2 linked regions of the Caenorhabditis elegans genome follow. The protein of the gene in region 2 purifies or fractionates together with the protein of the main gene of each other region. This does not show direct contact. Each region holds a gene or a part of one and is shown on either strand. Other genes may lie near its edges. The genes, in order: egl-30 and unc-73.

What was found.
Region 1: the proteins of unc-73 (region 2) and egl-30 purify together in Caenorhabditis elegans (affinity purification with western blotting, with the first as the bait; one study listed by BioGRID). This does not show direct contact.

The regions. Positions count from the first base shown.
Region 1 is NC_003279.8:1,833,931-1,841,824, reverse strand, and holds the start of egl-30 (Guanine nucleotide-binding protein subunit alpha), read right to left. Parts: upstream 6,165-7,894; 5' UTR 6,046-6,164; coding exon of another isoform or gene 5,953-6,045; 5' UTR 5,890-5,952; coding exon 5,772-5,889; intron 5,175-5,771; exon of another isoform or gene 3,667-5,174; coding exon 3,539-3,666; intron 3,046-3,538; coding exon 2,828-3,045; intron 2,762-2,827; coding exon 2,633-2,761; intron 2,575-2,632; coding exon 2,445-2,574; intron 1,731-2,444; coding exon 1,577-1,730; intron 1,507-1,576; coding exon 1,399-1,506; intron 1,147-1,398; exon of another isoform or gene 1,080-1,146; intron 1,020-1,079; coding exon 937-1,019; 3' UTR 1-936. Other genes in the region: rpl-27 (Large ribosomal subunit protein eL27), read right to left, coding at 6,431-6,547, 6,596-6,733, 6,781-6,936; C53H9.2 (Large subunit GTPase 1 homolog), read right to left, coding at 7,079-7,638, 7,688-7,894.
Region 2 is NC_003279.8:4,028,727-4,033,652, forward strand, and holds the start of unc-73 (CRAL-TRIO domain-containing protein), read right to left. Parts: upstream 3,014-4,926; 5' UTR 2,902-3,013; coding exon 2,881-2,901; intron 503-2,880; coding exon 333-502; intron 158-332; coding exon 64-157; intron 1-63.

The sequences.
Region 1 (7,894 bases), 2.2 Mb from region 2:
GGAAGAAGAAGGGGGGATGGTGTGTGGATGGGGGATGGTTTTTTTTTCGGTTGAGAAGAAGAAGAAGGAAAAATGACAAAAAAAAATCGATGAAAAATGGAAAAAAATAGGGTGGGGGGGAGGATTTCGAGGTTAGCTTGATGGGAAAAAAATATGAAAAACGGGATTTTTAGGGTAAGGGTGAAGTTTGGGGAGGGGAGTGGAGAAAGCATTCGATAATTTTCGAAAAAAATATGGTGAAAACTCAAAAAAAACGTTATAATATTTGAATTATGTGGATGTGGGTGGGAGAAATTGAAGTTGAGGAGGAAAAAAAAACTATGTCCAACACGAAAAATGTGTTTTTTTTGTGGTTAGAATTGTTAGAAAGGTAAAAAAAATAAAAATTTGAATCAAGACAAAAAAAAACGAAAGAAGCGGCGGTTTGTTGTGGGGATTTTTGTGAGAAAAAAAAAGACAAAAAAAAAAATTTTTTTTGTGAATGACAGAGAGACTAGGTGGTGTTTTTGCATGCCGGAAACTAGGTTGATGGGTAGGGAAGGATGTGAAAACCGACTTTTTGTGATGATAAATGAGTATAGACAGGACAGAAAGAGAGAGAGAGAGAGAGAGAGAGAAGTTTTGTTTCTTTTTGCATTAGCTATATCAGAAAGCACATCCAAAAAAAGAAGAAAAAAGTGCTTATATGGAAAGAATATTCGGGAGGAGCATTTGTTTTAGGGAGGAAAATGAGAAAATAAGAAAATAAGGAAGAGATGGAGAGAGAGACAGACAGAGAGAGAAAGTTTTTTGCAAAAAAAAAACAAAAATTAGAAGGAGTACAAGAAAATGTTTCCTAGGTTTAGGTGGTGGTGTCTCACTCGACCCAGTGAGAGAGAGAGAGAGAGAGAGATGGATCATCATCATCATCATCCAATCCGACATGCGACTTTCTTCTTACACCAAGTTGTACTCCTTCAGATTATGCTGTAGAATTGTGTCTTTGACGGCGGCGAACACGAACCGAATGTTTTCCGTATCTGAAATAGAGGTCCCTTTTATTTGAAAATTTTAGATATTTTTAAACAATTTTTTAGTAATTCGCCATGAGCAACTCTAAGTGTCCATGGGACACCGAATCGGTAACCCGTGGCTACCATAAGTGCTTTTCTCGAACACGGAGTTCTGGCTTCCCTGGAAGAGTTTGGGCCATTTTAGCTCGCCCATATCTGGAGTAGATTTACGGCGCGTTGCGTGTCGCGGCTCAATTCTAGTTGTAAAACTGAATTTATTTATCCGTGTGGAGTACACGACTTTATCCGGCAGACACGATTGTCAATGGAGCGCGAAAATTCAATGAAGAAGGCTAGAACCCCGTGCTCGAATATTTTCCACCTAGCAAACAAAGAAAAGACATACCAGTCGCGCACGTAAAATGAGAGTAGATAATCTTGTCGGCGTCCGGATTCAAGTCGACAAACATTTTGAGAATAAACTCGCGGGCGGCGATCGGATCGCGTGGGGGTCCTGAAAAGAAAACAATTTAGGTGGGTGAAATTTGCCCAAATAAAGTCTCTCAATAAAAGACTCTACAAACCGTCATATTCGGGAAAGTAGTCAGCGAGATGCGAGTACAGAATCTTCTCCTCGAGCAGATCCTTCTTGTTCAGGAATAGAATGACCGATGAGTTGGTGAACCATGGGTACGTGATGATCGTTCGGAACAGAGCTTTCGATTCTTCCATTCGGTTCTGCAAGATTGATTTCTAGTTTGTTTTTTTTTTGCACTATTGTAAGGATTATCACTCTACACTTCACATATTTTAGTTCTAGCTGACAATTTACAGAAAGAACGAGCGAAATCGGTAACGATTTCTACGACGAGAACAATTCGCGTGTTGGGAGAAACTCCTGTTTGAATTGGCGCCTTCGGTACCTGTCGTGTCGAGACCCGCCTGCACATCTTCCCGCGGAATTGGCAACTCTGCGTCTCTCACTCTCTCTCGTCGGGCAGTATATAAGGCGAGTGCGACGCTCATTAATCATCATTTCTTGACCTGTCACCTGTGTTTTGCTCATCCCCAAATCCCCGTTATTCTGTTATCTTACGTTATCATACGTAAACCACTTGGCCCTTAATAAATGCTATAATATTCTACTGGCTCTTCATCACACGCTTATCCCACTGTTACTCTATAGTGCAAATGAGAAATAGCTTAATATCCGCCCCGGCCCCTTGAAAAATGCACATTTTCCGGGCCGAATAGATTGTTTTCGGCCCCTAATTATGGTGCACAGTCGGCGACTAAATTGCATATTTTCGCTTAAAGCCACTATCTCCCTCTCCGTATCTCCGTATCTCTTGGGAGACGAAAAAAGCATCAGAGATTGTTTTCAGCTCATTATATATATATACGAATACCGTATAGTTTTTTCGTAATTAGTACTTTCTCCAGGGAGCTCACCTCGTTGTCACACTCGACCAACACCTGATCATACTCGGAAAGCGCCACCAGGAACATGATTGAGGTGACATTTTCGAAACAGTGGATCCACTTCCGCCTTTCTGATCGCTGACCTCCGACGTCCACCATTCTGGAAAACACAATTTTCCGTTTTTTGAATGTAATTTTTAGTAAATTAAAAAGCTCACCGAAAGATGATCTGCTCCAAATCAAATGGATATTCAATGATACCAGTGGTTGGCACACGAACACGCAGAATGTCCTGCTCGGTTGGCAGATAGTCTGGCACCGCCAGCCGTCGGAGATCGGAGAGATAGCTGGAAGATGTTAAACGAGGTTTAGAAAGAGGTAAAATATTTCAACAAAAAACCACTAAAACTCACTATTTGGCTGAATCGGTGAGCTGATATTCTCGCCTCCTATCATAACATTCCTGAATACCAGAATCCTCCCATAGCTCTTTGATATACGACACGTAGGGTTCCTCGAAAGACGTCACCGACTCGAAATCCACTTCCCGCACCACAGCCGCCTTCTCCTGCAGCTCCTCTGATTCGTTACCAAACTTTATATCTAATGTGTCCATCGCTCGTATCATAGACTGGAAAAAATAGTTCGAATTTTAAGGCTTCGGTCGATTTTTTTAAATGGAAAAACCCCCCTTTTTTCCATCGAAATGAGTATTTTAATCTCAAAAAATCAATTTTATTATGTAACCGCCAAAGATCTCATAGCGAAGTGTACAGAAACTTTTAAAATATTTTTTGAAACTACCATGGTGTCAGAGTGTCTTATTTCGGTTTGATCTACGTTGATCTACAAAAAATGCGGCAGAGTTCTCAACTGATTTAGCATGATTAAGAACGTCCCTGACGTCAAATTCTTTAGGGCGAAAAATTCGAGCACTTTTGTAGATCAAACCGTAATGGGACAGCCCTGGCACTACGTATTAGTTTCCGGTGGTAATTTACAACTTTTCTGTAGACTTCGCTACGAGATATTTGTTGCGTCAAACATCTACTGGCGGTTTCGTAATAAAATATGAGTTAAAATTCAAAATTTTAAAAACAGGTTTTCAGATTCCTAATTCCTACCTGTATGGCCATAAACACGTTCTGATAGACAAGTCGAATGTGTGCTCGCTTGTCCTCTTCCGAATATCCCTGACCGTGGATAATTCGCATCTGCTTGATGAACGTTGACTTGCCGGACTCTCCAGTCCCTGAAAATTGAATTTTTTTTTTGGAAAATGGGTTGTTGGATATATATATATTGTTCAATTACTGTACCTGAGAGCCTGGTTTTTAATTTTTCTCGCTTACCTGGATCTTTCATCATTTTTATTTTTAGGATTTTTTTGTTGGAACATAATTTTTAATGGGATTTAACGTGGTTTTAATAGTTTTGGGAATGCTAACTTCGAAAATACGGTGGGTTCGCCTTTAAAAATTACTGTAGTTACTAACTTTTTGCTGAGTTTGAATTGATTTTTCTTCCAAAATGTGATGTTACACGTGGTGATACTATTTCATTAAAGCTTGATCTACAAAAAATGCGGGAATTTTTCGCCCAAAAATATGTGACGTCAACACGGTCGTAACCATACGAAATCAGTTGAGAACTCTGCGTCTCTTTTCCCGCGTTTTTTGTAGATCTAGGTAGATCAAACCGAAATGAAACTCTCTGACACCACGTGATGTTAGTTAAAAAATTAACCACCTTTTCAATAAATTTAAGAAAACTGGTGAAAACTTATGAAACATCAAAAAACTACGGTACTCTTTAAAGGCGCACGATATTTTGACAGAGAACGCTGAATGTTAAAAAATCTACATTTGATTACTGTTTTCCTTATTTATGAATTAAACTTTCCTTTTAATTTTTAATTTTTTTTCATGTTGAGAAACTAACATCAAACAGATCATGCAAATTCAATTTTTTCCAAAAATTTTTTTTCCAAATCCGTTCCAGTTCCTTTTCACAGTCCCGATTCCAGCCCATGTCTGCCCTTTTTCTTGCCAATCTGCTCCTCCTTTAAAGCCCTCACACAAATTTGGGGCGGGTTGGAAATCAATTTGCACTGCTGCATACAACACACACATACACACAGACAACTCATGTCCATTAGTCATTTGTATGTGAATTCATCTAGTTGCTCTGTGGCCGAGAGAGAGAGAGAGAGGAGCCCACGCCTGCGTCTCCTAGTCCATCGGTCCCTATGGCTGGGTGGAGGACTGGCCAAGCTTCTGCTGCTGCTCTTCACCCCCATCCTTCTTTCTCTGGGCTCTTCCTAGCCCTCCCCGTGGTTGGCTGGGCTGGTTGGTTGGTTGGTTGGTTGGCTGCGCTGATTAGGTTGTGGCTTTCCCCACTCTCTCCCTCTCTCTCTTCCCTCTTTTCCATCGCGCGCGCACACAGCAGCCCCTCTCTCTGGTTCTCTGCGTCTCGCGCTCTCTCGCTCAGAGACACTCAAACTCACGCGGAGCACACTCTCTGCTTTTCCAATACTCCTATGTGTGTGTGTGTCGTCCCCGTCGTATTCTTCATCTCTCACTCCCCCCATTCTTTCTTTTTGCCGCTGCTGCTGCTGCTGCTGCCACCGATCAATACGCGCAGCACAGACGCGACAGGGAAGGGGGAGGGGGGGGCGCTGTGAGGGCAATCCACCAGCGCGTCTCGCTCTCTCTTACCATGCAAATGCTATATACGTACACACACTCACACACACATATATAGATATATGTGTAAGGGAAGGGAAGGGAAAGAAGAAGAAGAAGAAGAAGAAGGGGGTTTCGGGGGCCGGCGGGGGATATATGCCCCCGACAACGACGACGCGCCCCACATTTTCGACATATTAGGGGGGTTGGAGGCCCCCCCCCCAAATAGGAACGAAAAACGGAACGACACGCAGAGAAATAGACTGTTTCATACGCGCACTCCTACACACACACACACACACACTTGGAACTGTTTATTGATTTGGTTTTACAGGTTTTTTCAGAGACTGGAACTGGAACTGTCATTTTAAAGGAAAACCGTTCGGAATTGCGATTGATAACGAGGTGTTGAAGGGGGAAAACTGGAGGACTGATAAGGAAATTATGGTGATAAGGAGAATGATGAATGGGCGACAAGGGGCAGGTGCAATTCGAGAGGGTGTAAATGGAAAAAGTAAACAATAGATAAATAAAGTTTCGGAATAACGTGGAAGGCTGTGGGGGTTTTTTTTTCTTCAAATTTTAGCTTGGCTCCCAGGATTTCAGGATTCCAGGATTCTACAGGTTAAATGAATATTACACCGACTTCTTGTTGAAGGGAACCGGTTCTTACCCAATAAAAGAAGTTTGAGTTCTCGTCGAGCATTTCTTTTGTCACGCTGAAGCTGCTTCTCAATTTCTTGATTTATTCGCTTCTGCTCGCGAGCCTCTTCGGATAAACAGCAGGCCATGGCGGCCGAAAAGGTGCCACCAAGGCCGCAGATGAAGCCAGCGAATAGAACAAGAAGAACACGCTAGAGCGAGGATAGAAGTTCGATGCAATTTTTGTATTTCGGTGGGACGATTGAGGGCGTCAAGTTATAAACATCACAAAAAAACAACAACACAACAACGCACAGGGATGCCTCTCTGTTGGTGGAAATGTGGTGGTGGCGGGTGTGTGTGTATATAAAGCTGATCGCTTGACCGAAAAGGACCGCTAGCTGACGCACGCACCTAACACGCAACGCGCCGGCCTCCCCTCGACCGTAGCACTGGTCGCTGCGAGACCAAGATACGCGTGTCGCCGTGCCGCACTCCACTCTCGCCACGCTCTCTCGTTTCGCCTTGACGCACGGGCTCTACTCGTCTCGTCTCTCGCCGCCGGCTTGCAAACACTAAGATTTTGTGCCCCGATTCACGTATTGAATATAATTCTGCGTTCTAATGAAACCGATCTCACTGGAATATGTAACAACATTTTATTCAGAACAAAACAAGAAAAAATGCGGTTTAGAATCGCAATTTGGTGAAGAACCACTTGTTCTTTCCGGTCTTGTAACGCTCCTCGAACTTGGACTTGACTTCGACGAGGGCCTTTCTCTTCTTGGACGGAGCCTTGAGTGCCTCCTGAAAATTAAAAAATAATAGGTGAAATATATTAGAAATCCAACAAACCTTGTTGATGTTGGTCTTATCGAAGGCGACATCGACGGAGTAACGAGTTGGGAGCAAGTGAGTGTAGGAGACGACCTTGAGGAATGGCTTCAGCTTATTTCTCTTCTCGATCTTCTTCTTTCCCATGTCCTTGGTAACCTGAAAGAAAAATAATTAAATCCCGAACAAGCAACAGATGATTGTACCTTCAATGGGTATCTGTCGATTCCAGCAATGATGGCGTGTGGGTAGGTTCTGTCCGAAACTCCCTCGTCTTGTTGCTTGACGACGACGGCCTTGCGACCAGCATACTTTCCTCTGAGGACGAGGACGACCTTTCCAGGCTTCATAATCTTGCCCATATTTACCTGAAAAAAGTATTAGTGAAAAAGAAAATAGAAGAAATTAAAAGGATAAGAGACGAGCAAAAGAATTGAGATATAGCCTGGGTGGAAACCAGTAGAACAGTAAAAACATTTGAAAGTAATAACAAGAAGAGTGACTTTATTCATTATAAATCCTCCTCAATTTGTCCTTCTTTCCCTTGTAATGCTTCTTTCCATTGTTTTCGGTAGGAGCAGTTGGAATGACGGTTCCTAACGTTTGAGGCAATGCTTTTGAATCTCTGACATGAGCAACTCCGATTGATCCGACAAAGTGTTGAGAGTCAAATTGTGATCCCTTCAACTCATCACCCTCGAGAAGCTGAAGCTTGGCAAGCTTTTCCATCTGCACCCGACCAATATCACGAGTCTTCTTGTCTGGATAGGAGATTCGGTCAAACTCTTCTTGCTCAACTCCGGGAGGTGCGGCTGCCCAAATCAATTTTCCACTGACAACATCCTTGAACATCAGCCTCGCGGCTCTGGAACAATCCGGAATTCCCGACGACGCCATAAATCCTCTCATGAACGCGAGCGAGTTAAGCAAGTTGATTGCAGAAGGACTTTGCATCTCTGGCAGCATAATCGAGTATGTCGCCTCGATGACATGAACTGGAACACGGGAGAGTAGAAGCGACGTTGGGCCGAAGTGGTCACGCATTTGATCAACGGGAAGAATACCTGCAATCGAATCGAATTTGGAAAATATTATTTTAAAACTACGAGTTACCGTTTAAAAACATTTCGCTTCGTCCAAAAGAGAAAGAAGGCATGACAAGTCCGGGACAATCACAAAGGCATAGTTGGCTGTCGATGTGAATGGTTTGGAAATGTCTCGTCTTTCCGGGTGTTGCTGATACTGAAACCTTCTTTCCACCAGCCAGCTTGTTGATCGTAGAACTTTTTCCAACGTTAGGATAGCCAACCATTCCAACCA
Region 2 (4,926 bases):
TGTATATAGTTTTTTGTTGTTTTTGTAGGAATCCATATTTTTTAAACGAAAAAAAAACCATACACTGAGAGCTTTCAGAATGTGTCGAACATTGGTCCATGTTTGTTTTCCACGCATATCAATTACCACAAGGAATCCCTTTTCGCGTGCCATCTTCCTGCAAATTCAATTTTTTGTTTGGTTTTTTTGAAATTTGTGTTTTGTGGGCTTAGGCTAGGCTTATTGTTAAGTAATTGAATTGAAAAATGGAAATAAATTTTTTGAAATATCTTTTTATAAATTTTGTTTTTTCACAGTGTGGTTGTTCCATTTCAGTCAAATAAAAAACTTACGAAGTAACTTCAAATAAATACAGAAAGACATTGCGTAAATTATCCTGATTGACAGGTTGCTCTCGTGATGGACATACGATAACTGCTTGTCCGGCTCTACATCGTCCTCCAGGAAGTACTGCAATGCCGTCACGAAGAACATGCAGAATGTCTTCTGCTTTCATCGTCATCTGGAATTTTTTCGAATTGTTTAAAATCAAAAGTTTTCATAGAGTTTTTGAGATTATTTTTGAAAGTTCAAAATGTCCGGGAACATGAAACCAAAATCTTAGAAAACCAAAAAAAGCTCGCAGTGGCTCCAAAAAATATCAGTGTTTGTCGTAAAAGAAGGACCATTCGAAATTCAATTCACCACCAGAGGAAACGGGTGAGATAGAGGGAGAGAGCGTTGAGACGCAGGCAACACAACACCGAAGAGTGGAATAGGGGGGGAGTCGAGTGGAACGAAAAGGGGCTGGTCACATTGCACTGCAGTTTATCACCAAGTTCAATCTGCTAATCGACTTTTTCGTGTATTGGGACGGACGGACGGAATGGTTAGTGCGCTGTTCGCGGCCCCCGGCAATGGAAAATGACTGTTGATTTGGAGGAAAAGCAGAGAGTCAGAGATAACAGTTCTGCGATCACTAACTCGATTTTTAGGGCTAGCTTCTTGTCTAATTTTGGACCAAAAATTGGGCAAAACTTATACTTGGTTAGGGTGCGCCCAACTTTTCTTGTGTGGTTTTAAACTTGGGTTAGAGTTTGTCAAAAGTTGGATCAAGTTTGGGCTGGATTTGGGCGCAGTCTAAATCAATCTAAGCTTTGCCAACTTCTGGGCAAGAAGCGGGCACCAAATTTTGAAATTTTCGAATTCTAAATGGTGAAGTCGCAGGGGGCGAATTTTCGCTGAACTTGCACTAAAACTTGGAATAAAAAAGAAAATGTCAAACGGAAATCTAGGTTTTATAAAATTTTTTTATTTTTTGTATTTTTTCATTTTTGTATGGCCAATACTGAAAGAAAAATTTGAAATCATTCACTGTACATTACTTTTTTTAAATTTTATGAAACTGTAAAATAGAGATAACAAACTAGAATCATTGATTTTAAATTAAAATAATCAGTACAATGTACTCAAAAACTACCTATAAAAGTTTGGCTCTTTTTGTTTATTTTGTGAAAAAATTGGGCAGAAAAATTTGTATTTGAAAGAAAAAAGACTGAGAGAACTTTTTGTAAAAGCTCAACCAGAGTATTTTGAAGTTGACTAGTTTACTTGCAAGGCAAACCAACACGAAAAAAAACGAAAAAGGAAGAAAGAAAACCCGGCACACAAGAGATTTTCTTTCATTTTTTCTTTCTTTTTCCTCCAATTTTTTGCACTACAACAATTCTCAATGTCTTCCCCGATTGCCATAAACTGCCGTCATTACACACACACACTATTCGGATTTTTTTGTTGGTATTCGTTCTCTCTCACATTTTCCTCGCTTCTCGAGGTCATAATCCTGTCTCGAACAACAACATACTAGTAGTAAGATTGGTGCTAATCGAGAAGGCACTCTTTGAGAGTACCATCTGTTTCAAGGATTGAGGGAAGAGCTTGATAAGCTCCCACTATTTCGTTTCTTTTCTCACACAACTTTACACAACCGGTCACTATTATCGTGCTATCTGCGTCTCTCCATCTCATGATCTATCCGGAAATAATGGGTGAGAAGAAGCAGGAGCACCGGGAGAGCACCGAATTTCGGAATGAGTGACACAAAACAATTGACTCATAACATATTTCAAAAACGTGATGAACTCATTTTACACTTTTCAACAATTGTCTGGGAAGGTTTGTAATCGTAATACATCAATTATTATGATTTATTTTTCTTTAGTTTGGACCTAATCAAGATTTATAGTCGTGAAAAAGAGTAGAGATCTCGGAAATTTTTTTTTTCAATTTTGGCAAAACTTTAAAGTTATATTAAATTTTTTAGTTGCTGTTTTGGTGTTAATTTTTTCTACTACTCATAGGCGAAATTTAACGATTTTTGTATCAAAATACGGTACCCGGTCTTGACACGATAAAATTTTATTTGAAGAATACTGTAATCTCTAGCATTTGGTTTTTGCGGAATTTTCATCAATTTTCATTGTTATTTATAAAAAAATTTTTCATCGGAACAATTTTACAACAAAAAAACTGTTAAACACATAAATTTAAACAAATATAGAGAAAAAAATCAATAATCAACTAAACTACAGTAATCTTTAAAGGCTCATCAAAAATTTGTAGTATCGAGACCGAATACCGTATTTTTATTGCAAATATCGCAAAACTTTGCGTCTGGGCAATATTAACAAAACAAAATTAAATTATTTGAAATTTAAAAATTTGATGAAAAAGACATTTCTCGGAACATTCGAAAAACAAAAACGTATTCTTTTCTCTATCAAATCGTACAGTTTGCACTCGTTTTCCGCATTAATCGCTTCAATGGATTACGGCGCCGGCATCTCTGCCTCTTTTTTCACAAGTTGCCGCTGCCGCCACCATGAAACTGAAAAAACTCACTTTTCCATCATAATCGCCCATAACTGATGGAGGAATTTTATGCGAATTTGACGACTCTTCTTGAATTCAAAATAATCATGTGCTTCTGAATGTCTGTGTGTGTATTGTGACGATCAGATGAGAACCCGTTTATCTGAAAAAATGACAGTTTTCAAAGAATTTTAAATTTCTTTCAAAAAAAGAGATTTGAGAAAATAAAATAGAGTGCGTATTGAAAAGAGAGAAAAAGTTGATTTTCGATTTAAATTTTCTGATGAAATATTGCTCGAAAATCATGGAAAATCACACTAAATAAGATTTTAAAAATCAAAGAAAAAATCGAGACAAAATTATTAATTATTATGGAAAAAACAAAATTTTCCAGAACATTTAAAAATAAGTGCATTACAATTTTAGAAGCTTTTCATATAGCTTAACATCTTCTTGGAACAAGTTTGGTATACAAAATATTTCAAACAATCCGGAAAAAAATGGCTTAAATCGGAAATTGGCAACATGTGGCTTGAGCTAATTTAATTCTATTTGACCCTAGTCTAAACAATCTCTTGCCAAATTTTGGTCAAAATGGTCTTGCCAATTTTTAAAACTAAATTTTAAAGTTTGTTTTAAAATGACTGACTCATTGATATTTTTGAAGAAATTCTATACTCAAGCAGCTAAAAATAGGATGGAAAAGGTCGAAACATTGCGAAACGTTATTAGATCTTCTCACTAGAATACGTACTTTTTCAGGAAGTATGCATTATTCAAATGTCTTCACTGCATAAAATAAAATAAGCAAATAAAGATGTGATGAATCTAGTCTCAATTATTAGTTGCACAACGCATTACAAATCGTTGGGTGTGAAAATGCGAAAATCGTGGAAAAGGAAGAAGAAAAGGAAGAGCTACCAAAACGAACTATTTCTCTCAAGAGGGCCCAACCATTGGGGTGGGCACCGCTCCGGGAATAGCGTACGAAAGCGGGAGACAAGCGAATTGTTATGGGAGGCTAACGGCCGTTGTAGCAGACCGCTGGTCATATGAGACAGTGCTAGTGTCCTGTAGAGACGCAGACGTAAAAAGAGAACGCAAGGGTCACTGCGCGCGCAGACGGATGTTGATGGACCGGACAGACCGCCGGGGACACAACAGGCAAAATAAGAAAGAAGACATGAAGAAGACGACGACGTGAGATGGCGGTAATGGTGGCAGGTGCAAACGATGCAGGCGACAGATGACAAGAAGTATGTTAGCAACACTTCAAATATAGATAATTCTGTTTAAATCCTTTCTTCTCCAAAATTGAATTTTTCAATTGAACTCAATAGATGCTGTTGTGAGCTCTAGAAGTTGTTGAGATGTCTTTATAATCTAATCTCTCAAATTCTTTGAAACTACTTGTATCTGAACTAGAGCATTTTAGTTCAACAGGCAAAACAGATCAAAATTTAATGCAAAAATATATAACAAATAATTTATTAATCAGAAAATAATTTTCATTTAAGTTTGAAAATGTGAAAATATGATTAAAAATTGCATGAAAGTTGCCAATTGCTGGAAAAAAGTGTCAATAATTTGTCTGATTTATTCCAGCAATTTTCACCTTTCAGACAACTTTTAAGGATTTTTTTTCAACTAAAAAATTATTTTCAGATCAATCAATCCTATATTTTGACACTAAATTTTAATGAAAAATATCAGACCAACATGCCACATCAGGCCATTTTGTAGAATTGTCGAAAAAATTTAACGTACACCTCTGATCTGAACAATCAGTTTTTAGTGTCGGTGGAACACCGTAAAACAAAATCCTAGGAAATTTTAAATGAACTAAATTGAACTAAATGACCAAAAATTGAACTAAATGACCGCTATCGCCCTAATATCAAAAATAATATCAATTCCACTCAATCCTACAGTAACAAGTCAACATCAGAGATATTCTCGAGACACATGGTGAAGATTGGATTTCCCAGAGGATTATACCACCACATGTCTCTTCAGCCAAACAGTATACGATGACCGTTCAAGCGGAAATCATAAAACAAAAGGGATCGACACTTG